Alligator mississippiensis: one gene and its partner. The protein of the gene in region 1 interacts with the protein of each later gene in a biochemical or structural test. Links are inferred from orthologs where the notes say so. Each region holds a gene or a part of one and is shown in the gene's direction. Other genes may lie near its edges.

Region 1 (7,951 bases):
CCTGTTCTCCATTTTATTTCATGAGCACATATACCATCTGATGTTACCCAGCTTCCCAAGTAGTTTAATTTATTGACTGCCTTATCTGTTCCTTATCCACTTTGATGTTGCATACTGGAATGATCTTTGTAATTACCATGCATATTGTTTTGCTATAGTTAATACCTAGACCCTTCTTTTCGCTTTTGCTCACAATTTTATTTAACAATTTGAGATAAAATTGCTAGGTTCGATAAAATGTGTGTGTATAGGTATCTATTGAACACAATGTTTTATTGATATATTTACAGTTTAAAGCAATTTGGAAGCCTACCAGTGCCTCAGAAGTATAATAAAATAAATTCTAAATACCTATATATTTTGTCATTTGATTTGGGTTTTTTTATCATAGAATACCAGAGCTCCCCCCTACCCCCTTTGCTCACCAGGGCATGGGTCCAGCTGCACCTGCCCCCTCCCTCCCTGCTTCATGGTGCTGAGCAGCCCTGATATGTCCCTGCCAACGCTTTTGCCCCTCATTTCCAACCCACAGCCCTGCCACCTCAGCCCTGTTGGTGCCTCTCACTCCTAACCCACACTCCCCCATTTAGCAGCTTACCTGCTGTTGTCTGTAACTGTTATCTTCAACAGTTCTGTTGTTGCATGGGTTTTGTTTTATTTTATCAGTGTATTAAACTAGCCTCTCCAAGATAGAGCTGCATAACTCCACTTTGTCACTACCTGTATTTTCTCATACACTGGAAAGGGAGGGTTGTTCTAATGACTAAAACACCTGCTGACTTAGAATTGTATTTCATTAGGCTATGAAGAGACAGGTTGTATATAACAAAAATCATGCTTTTATTTTTTAACATTATTAAAAGCATCCCTTGTACATCTGAGAGACTGGACTGTCCTCCCATCCTCTTTACACTTAAGATGAGCCCATCTTAAGACATGCAGATACTCCTTTGGCTATTGGGTTACAAAGGGTTTTTGTACTGCTGCTCCATGATTCATAAGAGTGTCGTTCTCCCTACCTTCTCCAGTATGTCTGCCCTGCTTTAACCTTATTATTTAGCTCAAGAATTTGACACAGGATTTGTCTTGGAATTCATTCCACTGACCATAATAGGATTTGGATTTATTGATGTACATGAGCTACCCAGTTTAATAAATCAGATTAAGATGACTCACGGATTCTACCACCAAATCCATGCACTGAAATGTGTACAAGTTCTTAAAAAAAATGGGAGAACCAAAGTAGGTACTGGACCTTTCAGTTTAATTTGGTTGCATCTGCAAGGTGAATACTACCTACCTAAAAAAAACCCTGTAAATAGCTAGTTCAATATAGCTATAGTTCATTCAGAGCTATTACATTATCACTTCATATTTTCTGTACAATTTTTATATTTTTTTACAGAATAAAAATATATTTTACCAGAAATGTAATCTAAAATATGTATATTGATTTACATAAGGCTATTATTTGTTCACAGCTCCTTCAAACTTCAATGTTAAAAGAGCTATAGTCCTCTTAACCATATTTTTCCTATTCCTTTTTTAAAAAGCTCACACGCCATTCATTGTCTACACACATTTCAAAAAATTATCTGTAATACTGAGTGTTTCATTACTAGTTTATTCTTTCTTAAAAGAGTATTTGAATTAGCCATGTTTCAGGAAAATGTTTTTCCCTGGTCCTGTATTCCCTTCCACTGAACAAAATTAAGTGTTTTATGCGATTAAAAATAAAACACTAGGAAGCACACTTCAAAAATAATCAACATAATTATTTGACTACTTTGGCACCAACTTTAAAAAAAATCTGTAGATGAAAAATATTTCAGGGCAAATAAAGGGAAAGGTTAGTATTTTTCATAAGCCAATAGATGTCAGTTCCAAGCTAAGGATATTTCCATTTTATATCATGCAAAATAAAAAAAACTGGGTAATTTGTTGATTTTTATGCTATAAGCTAAAGACTAGCTTTTGTACAAATATATGTTAACAAAAAATATGGATCAGTGTCTAAAGTCAAATCTTCTGGTTACACTCCAGTATTGTAAACATGAATGTATGCAGTGTTGTTTCTCAAGAAGAGAAAGAAAGAAAGAAATCAAAGTTGTATCCTAAAGGATTAGGTTACCTATTTTTCATATGTGCTGATGCCCCAGACCTGGGTCTTCCTTTCCCATTGGTTTCATCCTTTCAGGAAGGTCTTCATCTGATTTTGTTTTTCAGGTTCAGTGGAGTCCTCATGGACTCTTTACTCTTTGTGTTTGTGTCATAGATTTGAGGAGATATTTGTTGGTTTGTTTGTTTTTTGGGGGGCTTTTTCAAGAGAGGGAGTATGTCCCCACTTTTATTTGAGGAATGTCTCAAGCTGATTGTTTTCCATGCATGAGAAACCTGTGAAATGACATATTTTAAGAAGTAATTACAATGTTTAAGGGGGTGCTGTTTTCAAGCATATCCATAGAATATCCTGAAAAACGTACTTTGTTTCAGAGTTAGGAAATTTTAACACAAGCTAATATTTCACTGCTATACTCAAAAAACAAAGAACACCTGATAACTGAAATCAGTGGGCTTTTCTACTCAAAAATCATGTCTTGATATTTGTAAGATGATGAGAGAATCTCTGCTTCACAACTCTTGAGCTTGGTGAATTGTATCTCCCCTTATGCTGGAAGCTTCAGAACAGAAGAAGAAATTTTGATACGGTATTTTTCAAGAAAAGCAGAGAGGCAATTTTCCAAAACAAGTGAAGAACATTTGGCTTCAGAGGGAAAGCAGAAGACAGAGACATTTATCAGGATAGGTAATTCCATCCTTCCTCCTTCCATGTTCAATATTGATGCATCTAGCAGAACTGAGAACTCAATGCATAACCTGTAAAGCAGGTTTCTTTTCAAAGGCTTCTTATTTAGGAGTGTGGTGGGAATGATACCAGAATGAGAGAAGTACAAGAAGTGTGTTGAGTAGGGAGTGGAGAGAGAGAAATAGGTAGCTGGGTAAATGGCAGTCACAAAAGTAGAACTGCATTGTGGGAGATACATATAGCTGTACTGTAGCTATGTTTATTTTAGGCTAGCAGTAAGACTTTAGTCCTACTTTCTGTTTTGCCTGTTGGGTTACAAAACTTTCTATGGTACTGCTCCATGATTCATTTGCTTTTATTTGTGGGGGACTCCCTTGGGACCACGCAGCAGGTGCTTAGTAGGGGGAGCAGGCTCTATCCACACAGTAGATGTGACTTCAGAAAATCCAGATTATTTTATTGGAATGACAATAGATACAAATATTGTCAAAACATTAAAGAAAAACAGACAATTCTCTCTCCATCAGGGCAGATAGATTATTCTGATGATGTAATCTCATGCTCACTTGCTACATTTGTTCATTTCTGTATAGTGTTCCCTTGTTACCATTCGATGACATCAGCAGACATTTATGACTGAGAAAATCTCTCATTGCCCCCACTAACCTGAAAGAGGAATAAAAACTCCATTTCAAATCTTTCACTGTCGTGTTGGCCACCTAATCCTTCCATTCAATTTGTATGCCTTCCCTCTTCTACTTAGGGATTATCATGCATTTGGGAAGTCACACTTCACTTCTGCATTTTACTGCATGGGGGGGGCACCCCCATCATGGTTATGCTGCTCTCCTGCTGATGGAGGCTTGCCCTTGTATTCTTCCCAGTGCTTGAAATAATCAGGCCCTTGGGCGTTGGGCTGGTGTTGTTAGCATTGGATGTAGGCCTTGTGTGACCAAAGGTACAGGAACAGAGTACGCTGGTAACCCTGAATTTTTTTTCAGTGACTGCAGCTACTCTCTGACCGAGGGGGTTTCTTGATCACAGGCAACAGGTGGCGCCACAACCCGCGTCGCAGGCGGCTCGCCCGCGGGAGGACAGTTCTCCCGCTTGGCAGCAGCTTTCAGAAATTTCATTCCACATTTTCACCGAGGTGCAGCGGGGCCCGGAGGCAGCCTGGCTCTTCGGCTCTGACCGGCGGGGAGGCAGGAGTTCACCTTCCTCCTGGCTGCAGATGAGGCAGGAGTGGGCCCTTGTTGTCCCACAGCCCAGCTGCCGCTTCTGCCACATCCAAGCCTCCTCCTGGAGCCCGAAAAGCCGCACCGAGGCGCGTAGGGCTGGGCAGAGGCACTTGTGTTTCGCTGGGGGAAGCCACGGGGAGCAATTCCGGGTGCTGCTGCCTGTGGCCACCGGCGCCCCCGCGCCGAAGAGCTTCCCCAAGAAGTTGCCCCAAGCGGCCTCCTCAGCCCCGGGACCAGCGGGCCGGCGGATCCCGCTGCCTCCCTCACAACTCCCCCTGCACGGGGCGCGCGCCACAACCCGCACCGCCCCGCGAGCCACCTCCTGCGGCCCCGGGCCAGGGCCGAGCTCCCCCCCAGTCGGGGGAGGGGGCCCGCAGCGGGCAGGGGGGACCACGTGACCCGAGAAAGTAGTTCCGAGTTGGCAGCGAGAGTATCCCTCCGCCGGCCTGCGGCCTGCTCCTGTGACCCCCAACACTCCCCTCAGGAGAACTCTCTATCCTTGCCCCGCAGCGCCCCAGCCCCACGGCGTAGGGGCCCGCAGCGAGCAGCGGGGCAGGGGGGGCGGCGCGTCGTGGGGGCGGGCGGCCGCGGAGCGATGATGTGGCGGGACTACTTTGCGGCGGAGGGGGCGGGGGCGGTGCCAGTGGAGCGAAGCTGTTCGGCGGCCGGTCCCTCCGCGGCGCAGCAGCCATGATGGAGGCTTGAGGCGCTCGGAGCTGCCGCGCGCGGGGAGGCCGCAACCATGAGACGGGCCCGGCTGGGGCCCCGCGCGCAGCCCAGGTCTTGAGCGCGCTGCTTTGCGTCTCCCACCGACCCCGCGCGGGGCTCGGTCGCCTGTCGCCCGCCCCCCGCCCGCCGGTGCGCGGCCCTGAGCGCGGGGCCGCCGCCGCCCCGGGCGGGAGCGGGGCCCGGCCGCTGTCACCATTTCTGGGGCGCGGAGCGCTGGAGGGCGCCTCTCCCCGCCTCCGCCTCACTCGCCTCAAAGACGGCGGCGGCGGCGGCGCAGCCCGGGACTCGGCCGCACGCTGAACCCCTCCGCGGCCGCCGCCGCCGCCCCGGGCCCGGCCCCCGCTCCCGCTCCGCCCGGGGCCGCGCGGGGAGGGGGCAGCAGCCGCCGCCGCCGGGAGCCGCAGCAGCAGCAGCAGGGGGAGGGGGGCCCGCCGCTGCCCCGGGGCCCGGCCGCCTGCGGGCCTCGGGCTGAGCCGCGCGGGCCGCCCCCCCGCTCCGCCGTCCAGAGCCCCGCGGCCGCCGCCGCCCCGAGGTTCGGGGGAGCCGCCTCGGCCCAGCCCCGAGCCCTGTGCGCCCTGCCGCCGCCGCCGCTGCCCTGCCTGCCCGCGCGGCTCCTCGGCGGCCCCCGGCTCCCAGACATGACCGCCATCATCAAAGAGATCGTCAGCAGGAACAAAAGGCGATACCAGGAGGATGGCTTCGACTTGGACCTGACCTGTATCCTGCAGCGGGCTCCTGCCCCCCGGCGCTGCCCGGGCCCGAGCGCGCTGGAGTGCCGACTCCGCGGCCCTTCCCGCCGGGGCCTCGCGCTGACACGGAGCCGGCCCGGCCAAGCCTGCCCCTCCTCGCCTGCCGGGGCCTCTGCGCCCGGGACCGCGCTTGGTCTTTGTGGTGGGGGTGCGGTGCGGTGTGGGGAGCACGGGCTCCTGTGGGACTGAGCAGGGGGGTCTGGGCCTGCCGCGCTGCTGGTCCCGTGCGGGAGAAAACGGGCTGAGAAGTCCTTTGATCCCTGACAGTCATGTCAGGCAGGTTAACGGGGCTTATGTGCAGTAATGGCGATTGCAAAAGATTAACATTAGCGCTCATTTGGAATTGGAGTCTTCTTGCCTGGCCTGCACTGGCACTTACCTTATTTTGGTGTCATGCCTCACTGACACTCCCAGATAATGACTTCGGTGCCCATGCTCAAAGTAATCTTCTGCCTCTCCTTAACTTGTTGGTTGGGTTTAGTTCAGATAGAAGGGGGTTGATTTTTTTTTTTTTAACTGAGCTGTGTACTGTCTTAATTTGGTATCTTAGCTTCTTGAATCAGAAATACCTTTAGCAGATGCATAGCCTTACTTAGTGTTAGTTTGTGTGTGTAAATGGATAGCAAATGGATCCCTTTGATCACATTTCTATTAGTTAAACCTGAGGTTTAACTAAAGATCATAGATGCTTGTGTCCAAATACAAGAAAATAAGCAAATACATTTATCCTTTTAATTTAAAAACAAACTTCAGTGAAAGCTAACATTCTGTAGCCATTGAACTTTACTTCATACTGATCGTTCCTGTAGGTATGAGGCCCCTGTCTTTTTTGCAAATGAGAATAATTAGGTTCTTGTTAACTGAAGCATTGTTTTGGATATATGAAACTGTGAAGAAGAGTTTTTTGCAATATTGGTATGCCATTGGGACTAACCAGTGAAACCATAAAGCGCTAGAACCATATAGTTCTTTTGGCCTGTTAAAGGGATGCATTATGAAAGCATCAGACAGATGTTAGGCTGCCAACATCGTGAAAGGATCTGTCATTTTTCCATCAGAAGTGGAGGTGGTTGCAGATGCTATAGGTTGAACCCACTTTTCACTTTTATCTGTTCTTTAAAATAAAACATCCTTAATGCAAGGATTAGAATTGTAAACATTGAAAATTAGGTTAAGGACCAGAAGTTTAGCTAGTAGTGCTGAATGAGAATATGTTCTGCCTCACAACAAGGACAAGCTGCTTACCGTTTTCTCGGAACATGAGAGAATTAAGTCACAGTTGCAACTACAAATGCGCTTGAGTTCTTGGATATACAGATAGCTAACTGAAAGATTGAATTTGTAATGTTACGTTGATTTAGGACTCAGTCTAAAATGTTGAATACTTAACAGATAAGTGTATTGGCATTGGCAGATGACCCTTAAGGATGTACCTTCCTGATTTTTATTTTATTCTATGAACATATTGACCAAATAATGCTTTATTGTCATTTTAGAGCTGTTTTAAATTCTTCAAAATCTATATTTTGATGACATAACTTGAATAGTAGTAGAAGACTGCATCATCATGCTATAGGTTAGTAGAACATCTGCAGTAATAATATCTGCTCAAACAATATAGCATAAACATCCATGTAATAATATGCCTTATAGCCTAATTCTGTAATTTTGAAAGTTAAGGGTGGGAAGAGAGTAGGGAGGAAAAAAAACTAGGAGCAAGAAAAGAAACCAAATTTTATGCATCTCACTTTTAAAATTTGTCCTTAAAAAGTCTTTTTCAAAGGTGTAATGAGAGTATCTGACAAAACAGAACTTGCATTTATTTATCTATGAATCTAGGTATACTTATTTTTTGTTTCTTGGCAAGGAAATTGTGGGCTATTAATGATTTTGCCTCTTACTTAGCTCAGCATTTGAATGGCATCTTCAGCATTGTTACAGAATTTGTGTGCTCACCCAGAAAAAACCATAAATCTGTTTTTGGGGTTTAAATTGTAAAATGATTTCAATTAAACTTTATTTAGTTACTGTACTTGTAATGAATTAAGTACAGTAGACTTGTACTTTTTAAAAACTACTTTGCAAAGTATTTTTAAAAATGCTTTGCTGAGGAGTTGGTTTTCAATATTAAACGTCATTTTCCTTGTATGTATGTTATTGCAGATTCTGAGCAGTTACTTTATGAAGGAAGAATGCTGTATGTGCCAAATAGCAAAATGTAATTGGATGTACTAGAAAATTAAACCAAGAAAATTGAGGGGTTTTTCTTTATTCTGTAAAACCTAAAGAAGGAAGCCCTTTACAGTTTTTAATGGGATAACTACTCATTATCTAACATCTGGAAGGTATTAAATTGTGCTCTTTTTAGGTAGCTTAACCACTCTTTTCGTGTGTTACTTGTGCACTAAATTCTAAATTAAGTTCCCTGT
Region 2 (7,960 bases), on another chromosome or scaffold:
TGGGCTACACACTAAATAAAGCAACGCCCAAGTTTGCTGATTCTCACTGGCCTCCTTTTGTATCACTCAACAGTTTATGCAAAGAGGCAGAGACTGATTCTTCTGCAGAACTGCAGGCAGAGAGGAGTATCAAGGTCCAAAGCGAGCTGGCTCCTTCCAGAGATCCAGTACACTTCGCAGGTGAAAATCCTGGCTACAAACCCACAGCAAACCGAGCAATGATGGGCTGATACTGAAGCCTGGGATTTGAAGTCGTCTGCACTTACATCTTTTCAAGGTGATGACCTTATACAACTTCAAGCTGATAACATCAAATACTTACGGTGATTATGCACCAGCCATCGCACTGATCTGAATGATATTCACGGTCACGTTATCTCTTTGTAGGGCTACCACGCAACATTAAGATGAAGAAGAGATCTGTGTTGGCCATCTTGACCTAGAATAATAATGTGGTTTTCTCTTGGATAGCACGTGCCTACATACCTTCCAAATATCTAATCTAGTTGTATTGTGTCCAGCCCTACATCTCCTGAGTTGCTTTCATTATCTGCCATTTCAGTTAAAATATATATATATATTTTTTCCCTAAAATAGGATGTTTCAAACTACATTATTGTGTATTTTACTGCTGGCCTCAAACATGCTATCATGTTTGCATTAGCTCCAGAGGACTCTTTCGGGTAAGGGGATGGCGGAAAAATGCTGGAAAGCCAAAACAGAGACTCTGTAATATCCAGCACATGGGCAATGCCGAGACATGGCGGCTGCTCGGAGATTGACTGATCCTCCCTACCACTCGGTGAAATTCTTATCCCGTTCCTCCTCTGTGAAATTTGGGGTCATTTTTAACCCTTGGGAAATAGACCACTTTTAAGAAAATCAAGGGATCAGGGAGTCATCGGGGTGAACAAGGTCATGCATTTACTCAGCCGAGATTGAAACCCAACCCTTTAGCAAAACACGGGCACCATCTTGTAGAGACACGAGGGACCGAATCGGAGACCTCCAGAGTTGAACGGGAGTCTGGTTCTCCAGCTAAGAGCTGAAACCAAGTCCTGTTTTTTGTGGATGCTGCACGGAGCCAGGGCATGAACCGTCCCGACCAGCGGCTTGCAAATGGGCCAGAAGAGCAGCAAAGGCCACGTCGGGTACCGCAGAACCTGTCCCCTGTCTGCGGGAGGCTATGGCTCATTAACAGTGTAAGAGCGCTTGGGGAACTCTCCTATCATAGAGACAGAGAAATAAATAGACCCTGAGAAGCAAGTGCTCTTAATACAAAGCCATCTGGAACCTCCAGCCTGAGCAGTGGGCTACGGCTGCTTTCAAGACTTGAGTTTGTTCTCAGCACCATTTTGTTGAGACAGAAACCCCCCTATCAGCTCCCCAGGGCCTGAGGATGCCGTGTGGGAACTCACTGAAAGTAGGGCAGCTTTCCCTGAGCGAAGCTCAGTGGAAACAGCGCACACACCAACCACGGTGCAGCGTCTCATGAAGGGCAAATGCAGAGCTCCGACTTAACGGAGCAGGAGCCTCGTCCTGGAGGTGGTTGGGCAGGAGCCCTTAAGCAGCTGTCATCCCGTAAGTGCCATGAAAGTCAGCAGGAATTATAGAATCAGAGTCAATGAGGGCTGGAAGGGAGCTCAGGAGATCCCATCTAGTCCAACCCCCTGCTCAAAGCAGGACCAGCCCCAACTACATCATCCCTGCCAGGGCTTTGTCTATCTGCATCTTAAACACCTTCAAGGATGGAGAGTCCACCACTTCTCTGGGCAGCCTTCACCACCCTCCTAGTGAGAAATATCCAACCTCAACTTCCCTTGCTGCGGCTTGAGCCCATTGCTCCTTGTCCTGTCATCTGCCCCCACTGAGACCAGCCCAGCTCCATCCTCTTTGCAACCCCCCTGCAGGGAGCTAAAGGCTGCTATTTAATCCTCCTCGGTCTTCTCTTATGCAATGAGCCCATTTCCCTCAACCACCCCTCAGACGTTCCCCCATTCTTGTTTCAGGGGTGTAGGTTGTAGTCATGTTGGTCTAAGTGGCTCCCAATCTGTGGTACCCGTGCCCCCAGCGGTACGCAGACAACCTGTCAGTGGTACACATTAGCAGATGTATTATAATTACTGTATCTGACAGAAATGTGCTGGAGGTACTTAAAGGCTGAAATGAAAAAGGTGCTGGTGGTATGTAAGGGTGTGTTGTTTTCATTCGGCGGTGCGCAGTCTGTCGGAGTTTGGGAACTGCTGGTGTGAGGACACAGGCAGACCAGGTTCTTTGGGTAAATCCAGTATCTTTTATTAGAGCAACTCAGTTGGAAAAATTCTTCTTCACAAGCTTTCTTTCAGGCACAAACCCCCTTTGTCAGGTGTGTAGGTTGGTCTAAGGACACGGACAGACAAGGTTCTTTGGGTGCAGTTGGTATCTTTTATTAGACCAACTCAAAAATAGTTGGAAAAATTCTTCTTTGCAAGCTTTCAGGCACAACTTTTGGGTAAATCCCATATCTTTTATTAGCCCAACTCAAATAGTTGGAAAAAATTCTTCTTTGCAAGCTTTTGGGCACAAACACCCTTCATGAGGCTGAGGAAGCGTCTGCCTGACAAAGGCAGACAAGGTTCTTTGGGTAAATCTGATTTCTTCTATCAGACCAACTCAAATAGTTGGAAAAATTCTTCTTTGCAAGCTTTTAGGCACAAATACCCTTCATCAGGCTTGCTAAGAAGAATTTTTCCAACTATTTTTTTACTTGTTGTGATAGAAGACATCAGATTTACTTAAAGAACCTAGTCTGCCTTCATCAGGCAGACCCTTCCTCAGCCTCATGACCGGTGTTTGTGCCCGAAAGCATGCAAAGAAGATTTTTTTTCCCAACTACGTGATTTGGTCTGGTAGAGCAGTGTTTTAAGGGGCAAGTACCCCCTAACTTCTGAAAAGTTTAATAACTACCCCAACACTCAATTTTCCAGGGGATTTTATATTTACAGACTATGCGCCATATGTTGGAAGAAGGGCTGTGTATATAAGGCTGTGATATGACAGATGTCTGATCTGGTCTGGATAGGGTTGCCAACCTTTTACACCAGGGGTGCATAACTCAAGTACAGGCAGTCCTCGGACTTACGACACAACTGGTTCCTGAAAACCGCATCTTAAGTCGAAACGTTGCAGCTTGGAACTGATTTCCCCATAGGAAATAATGTTATAAATGGGGGATTGGTTCCTGAACCAAGGCCCGATACCCTATTTTCACCAAAAATACCCCAGAATTTTGTACTTGGTCAATTATAGATGAGTAATATAGCTACATTAATGTATTTCTATTGTAAATAGCAATCATATTGCTTTGGAAGGACTTCTTTGAGGAGACTTTGCTGGACTTTTTGAAGGGTTCTTGGCTGGAGTCTTCTCAGGAGTCTCGGCTGCAGGGTTTTCTGGAGTCCTGTCTGCTTTCTTAAAGAACGTGTCCAAGGAAGTTTGGACAGACGGTCTCCAGGGGGATGAACGGGTCGACCCGGCAACCTTGCTCGCTGGGGTCAGATCAAGCGTTGTAAGTCGAAACGGATGTCATAAAATGGAACAGGGTGTCCATTTATAAATGTTGTCAGTGGGAAACATTGTAACCCAAAGTGTTGCAAGTCAAGGACTGTCTGTATACCTGGGCTAGAGGCGATGCTGCCCAAAGCTAGGAGGCCTGAACGCCAAATTATTACTGGGTAATTTTTTGTCATGGGGAAAAGAGGGCACGAGTGACAGGGAAAGAGGGCAAAGGAGACAACGGCAGGGTGGGGGTATGCGTACCACGGGTTTAGAAACAATGTGCTAGAAGACACGGGATTCACCCAAAGAGCCTCGTGTGCCCACTCTTGTTTAATACCCCCATACCCTGCTCACCCCCTTGCCCCCACCCTCCGCCTCTGCTGCCCCCGGGGACAGCCCCCAGGTGCAGCGCGGTGCCAGCCAGGGGGATGCAATGCAATGCAATGCAATGCAATGCGTGGCGGCTCGCCCAGGCCGGGGGGGTGAAGCCCGCAGGTGCGGGGAATGGGATGCAATGCAATGCAATGCGTGGCGGCTCGCCCAGGCCCGGGGGGTGAAGCCCGCAGGTGCGGGGAATGGGATGCAATGCAATGCGTGGCGGCTCGCCCAGGCCGGGGGGTGAAGCCCGCAGGTGAGGGGAATGGGATGCAATGCAATGCAATGCAATGCGTGGCGGCTCGCCCAGGCCGGGGGGTGAAGCCCGCAGGTGCGGGGAATGGGATGCAATGCAATGCAATGCGTGGCGGCTCGCCCAGGCCCGGGGGGGGTGAAGCCCGCAGGTGCGGGGAATGGGATGCAATGCAATGCGTGGCGGCTCGCCCAGGCCGGGGGGTGAAGCCCGCAGGTGCGGGGAATGGGATGCAATGCAATGCAATGCAATGCGTGGCGGCTCGCCCAGGCCGGGGGGTGAAGCCCGCAGGTGCGGGGAATGGGATGCAATGCAATGCAATGCGTGGCGGCTCGCCCAGGCCCGGGGGGTGAAGCCCGCAGGTGCGGGGAATGGGATGCAATGCAATGCGTGGCGGCTCGCCCAGGCCGGGGGGTGAAGCCCGCAGGTGCGGGGAATGGGATGCAATGCAATGCAATGCAATGCGTGGCGGCTCGCCCAGGCCCGGGGGTGAAGCCCGCAGGTGCGGGGGATGGGATGCAATGCAATGCGTGGCGGCTCGCCCAGGCCCGGGGGTGAGGCCCGCAGGTGCGGGGAATGGGATGCAATGCAATGCAATGCAATGCAATGCAATGCAATGCAATGCAATGCAATGCGTGGCGGCTCGCCCAGGCCCGGGGGTGAAGCCCGCAGGTGCGGGGGATGGGATGCAATGCAATGCGTGGCGGCTCGCCCAGGCCCGGGGGTGAAGCCCGCAGGTGCGGGGCGGTGCGGGGCCCGGCTCCCCCTCCGCAGCTCTGGAAGGTTCCCGTTCGCATGAGGGGGAGGCGCAAAGCCGGCTCGGCCCCCGGCGCCGCTCCGCTGCAATGTCACTCGGCGCCGGCGGCCGCGGGGAGGAGGCGGCGCTGCAGCCGGAGCCGGAGCCGGAGCCGGAGCCGGGCAGCAGCAGCGGCGGCGGCGGTGGTGGTGGTGGCATGGCCCCATCTGCAGCCTCCCGCGCCTAGGCGGGATCGGGATCGGGGTCGGGGTCGGGGTCGGGGCGGCGGAGCCATGGCCAAGGACCAGCTGAAGCCGCGGCTGTGCCACATGCTGAAGGGCGAGCAGGGCTACGGCTTCCACCTGCACGGCGAGAAGGGCAAGAGCGGCCAGTTCATCCGCAAAGTGGAGCCCGGCTCCCCGGCCGAGGCGGCGGCGCTGCGGGCCGGGGACCGCGTCGTGGAGGTCAACGGCGTCAACGTGGACAAGGAGACGCATCACCAGGTGCGGCCCCGGCCCCCGCCCCGGCCCGCACGGGTCTCAGGGCAGCACCCGGACCCAGCCCCGACGTCCCGGGGTCCTCCCAGCCGCCCCTGCCTGCTCACGGACATACCCTGCGGGGCCAGGGCCAGGAGGAGCTGGACTAGAGGTCCAGACAACTGCCCTAAAACCCTGGGGTCCTCCCAGCCAGCCCCCTGCCCGCTCACGTAGATGCCCCGCTGGGCTAGGGCCAGGAAGAGCTGGACAGGAGGTCCGGAGAATTGCACCACAGTCCTGGGGTCCTCCGAACCAGCCCCCTTCCTGCTCACATAGATGCCCCGCTGGGTTAGGGCTAGGAGGAGCTGGACAGGAGGTCCGGAGAATTGCACCACAGTCCTGGGGTCCTCCGAACCAGCTCACATTGATGCCTGGCTGGGCTACGGCCAGGAGGAGCCGGCCAGCAAGTCCCGGGACTTGGTGGGGAGGGCATCAAGGAAGAGGTGCAGGGAGCCTCAGCAGGAGGGTTAGGATGAGGAGACAGGGTGGTTTCTGGCTCTGTTTTTGCGACCGTGGGGCTCCCTGCCTAGCGGGGCAAACCCCTGACCTTTGCAGGGGGCTGGGGAAAGGCTAGGCAAATGTTCAGATGAGGTTCTTTGGGTCAGTCCGAGCTCTTTTATTAGATCAGCTCAAATAGTTGGAAAAAATGTACCGCCCCCGAGGCAAATGTTCGGCGCTTGTTACTAGGGTAAAATGGGGATTTCTGTTGATTGCAGATTGAACTGGACACATAACGGTGGGGACGAGATCTCTTGCTGGCTCGGTGCTGAGCAGTTCTGTGTGGCTATCTGTTTAGGGCAGTAGGGGCTTGAATATATTCGTAGCTTAAAGTATATGGCAGGGACCCCCTGGAAGCGTGCTGCATTTGTCAGGTATTGGTCTGTCTCCTGCATGCTTCAGGGACCGCCCGGGATGACTGGGATAGTGGGCTTCGGTGATGAATTGCTGCTAGTGGGTCCTAGAGGCATGGGTGCTTGATGATCAACTCATTGGCGCAGTGATCTCTCCAGCCAGGGTGCCAGCTGTGAGGTCCTTTTAAGGGTGGCACACAGCGTGGTGCAATATTAGGGGTGCAGACAGCTATGCATGATTCACAAGGTAAACCCAGAGATTTTAAGTAATATCAAAAACGTCCTGCCCTGGTGTGGGCTTTTTTTTTTTTTTTTGCAACTTTTTTTTGGTGGTCAAGAAACAAGTGAAAGCTAAGAGCTGGCATTTTCGGAGGGCCAGGAGTGCCCAGAGTCCAGCAAGGGGCCCTGAGTATAAGGTTGAAAACCGGTGCAGGGCGTTGGAGCAGTTTGTGGTCTCGGTAGTGCTGCAATATGGAGTTGAGCTTGCTGACACCCACACTGGATTTGGCTCTTATTGTTTGTTCATTAGTAAAACAGACCCAGGCGAGCCGAGCACCCTCTGCAAAAGTGAACACGAGCCCTTTCGTTCTGATTTGGAATCGAGTCAGGCTCCATCTCTTCCTCTCTTCTAATTGCTGGGAGGAAAAGGGAGCTCCTGTTACATATGGAGCTGCATTTCCCATCGGAGAAGTGTCAGGGCTCTTCGTATGAAAATCTGATGGGGTGATGATGGGTGATTTAACGTGTCTGAAATGTGTGGGCTTTCTAGTTGCGTGGCGTAAGTGAAACGAGGGGCCTGTCATCTTCTCCATGTTTCCTTCTCCTTGCAAATAGCCCAGCAGATTTCAAAATATTCAGTGTTTCGACAAATAAAGTTAGCATTTGGGATCTCAGCAGGTAGGATGACGTCATGAGGCTGGCAATCCTTATGCTTGAGGACAAAATGCCCAATATTTTCTGGTGCTCCTTGCCCTAAGTGATACCAGGGTGCCGGAATAAAGGGCAATACCAGGGTATTGGACTCCACGGGTTTTCCCATTCTCTTCAGCACAGTGGCCTTTGAGCTAATAACCCTTTTACCTCTAGCACTGAAATGACCCGTAGCAAAGATCCTTAGTCTGTTCACGGTTGTTGCAAGCTCGGGAAGTTGACGTTTTTGGACATTTTCATGGTGTTTGTTTGTTTCCCTGACTTCTGGTTTGTTTTTTTTTCCTCCTAAATGCAAACAAGCTGCAAAGCTAAATGTGGAAGGTCTGTTCAAGGCACCACGCTCCTATCTTGGCATCCTCCTCCTCAGTATTTGTGACTAGGCAGGAAAATGAATGTGTGCTGGTTAACGCTGCACAACTATAAGGCCGCTGCCTAAACCACCCTTGATGAGAGCTATAACTATGGGGAAAAATCCATTTTACAATTGGCTGGGCTGAAGCATAATTTACGGGCAGAAAGTGGCCTTTACTAATGTGGGAGAATCGCTCAGCTTTGGTTCTCTTTGCTTAGCAATGGAAGTGCTTTTGTTGCAGAGCTGGTGCAGTTACTTCTGTTCTGTCTTCCTTCGGCTGCGTCCACATTTCGGGGGAAAGGTGTGTTTCTTTATGTGCAGTATTGGCTAGCCCAGGTTAAAGTCCTAGCGTGGACAAGGCAGGTTGCAGTTGTAACACTCCTCTACCAT

What was found.
Region 2: the proteins of PTEN (region 1) and NHERF2 form a complex in vitro, tested with the Homo sapiens proteins (2 studies listed by BioGRID and IntAct, with this or other methods). The link is inferred for Alligator mississippiensis from reciprocal best matches to the Homo sapiens genes PTEN and NHERF2.

Annotation. Positions count from the first base shown.
Region 1 is NC_081829.1:65,952,755-65,960,705, forward strand, and holds the start of PTEN (phosphatidylinositol 3,4,5-trisphosphate 3-phosphatase and dual-specificity protein phosphatase PTEN), read left to right. Parts: upstream 1-4,929; 5' UTR 4,930-5,411; coding exon 5,412-5,490; intron 5,491-7,951. UniProt on the Homo sapiens protein: Dual-specificity protein phosphatase, dephosphorylating tyrosine-, serine- and threonine-phosphorylated proteins.
Region 2 is NC_081836.1:57,476,750-57,484,709, forward strand, and holds the start of NHERF2 (Na(+)/H(+) exchange regulatory cofactor NHE-RF2), read left to right. Parts: upstream 1-4,943; 5' UTR 4,944-4,960; coding exon 4,961-5,404; intron 5,405-7,960.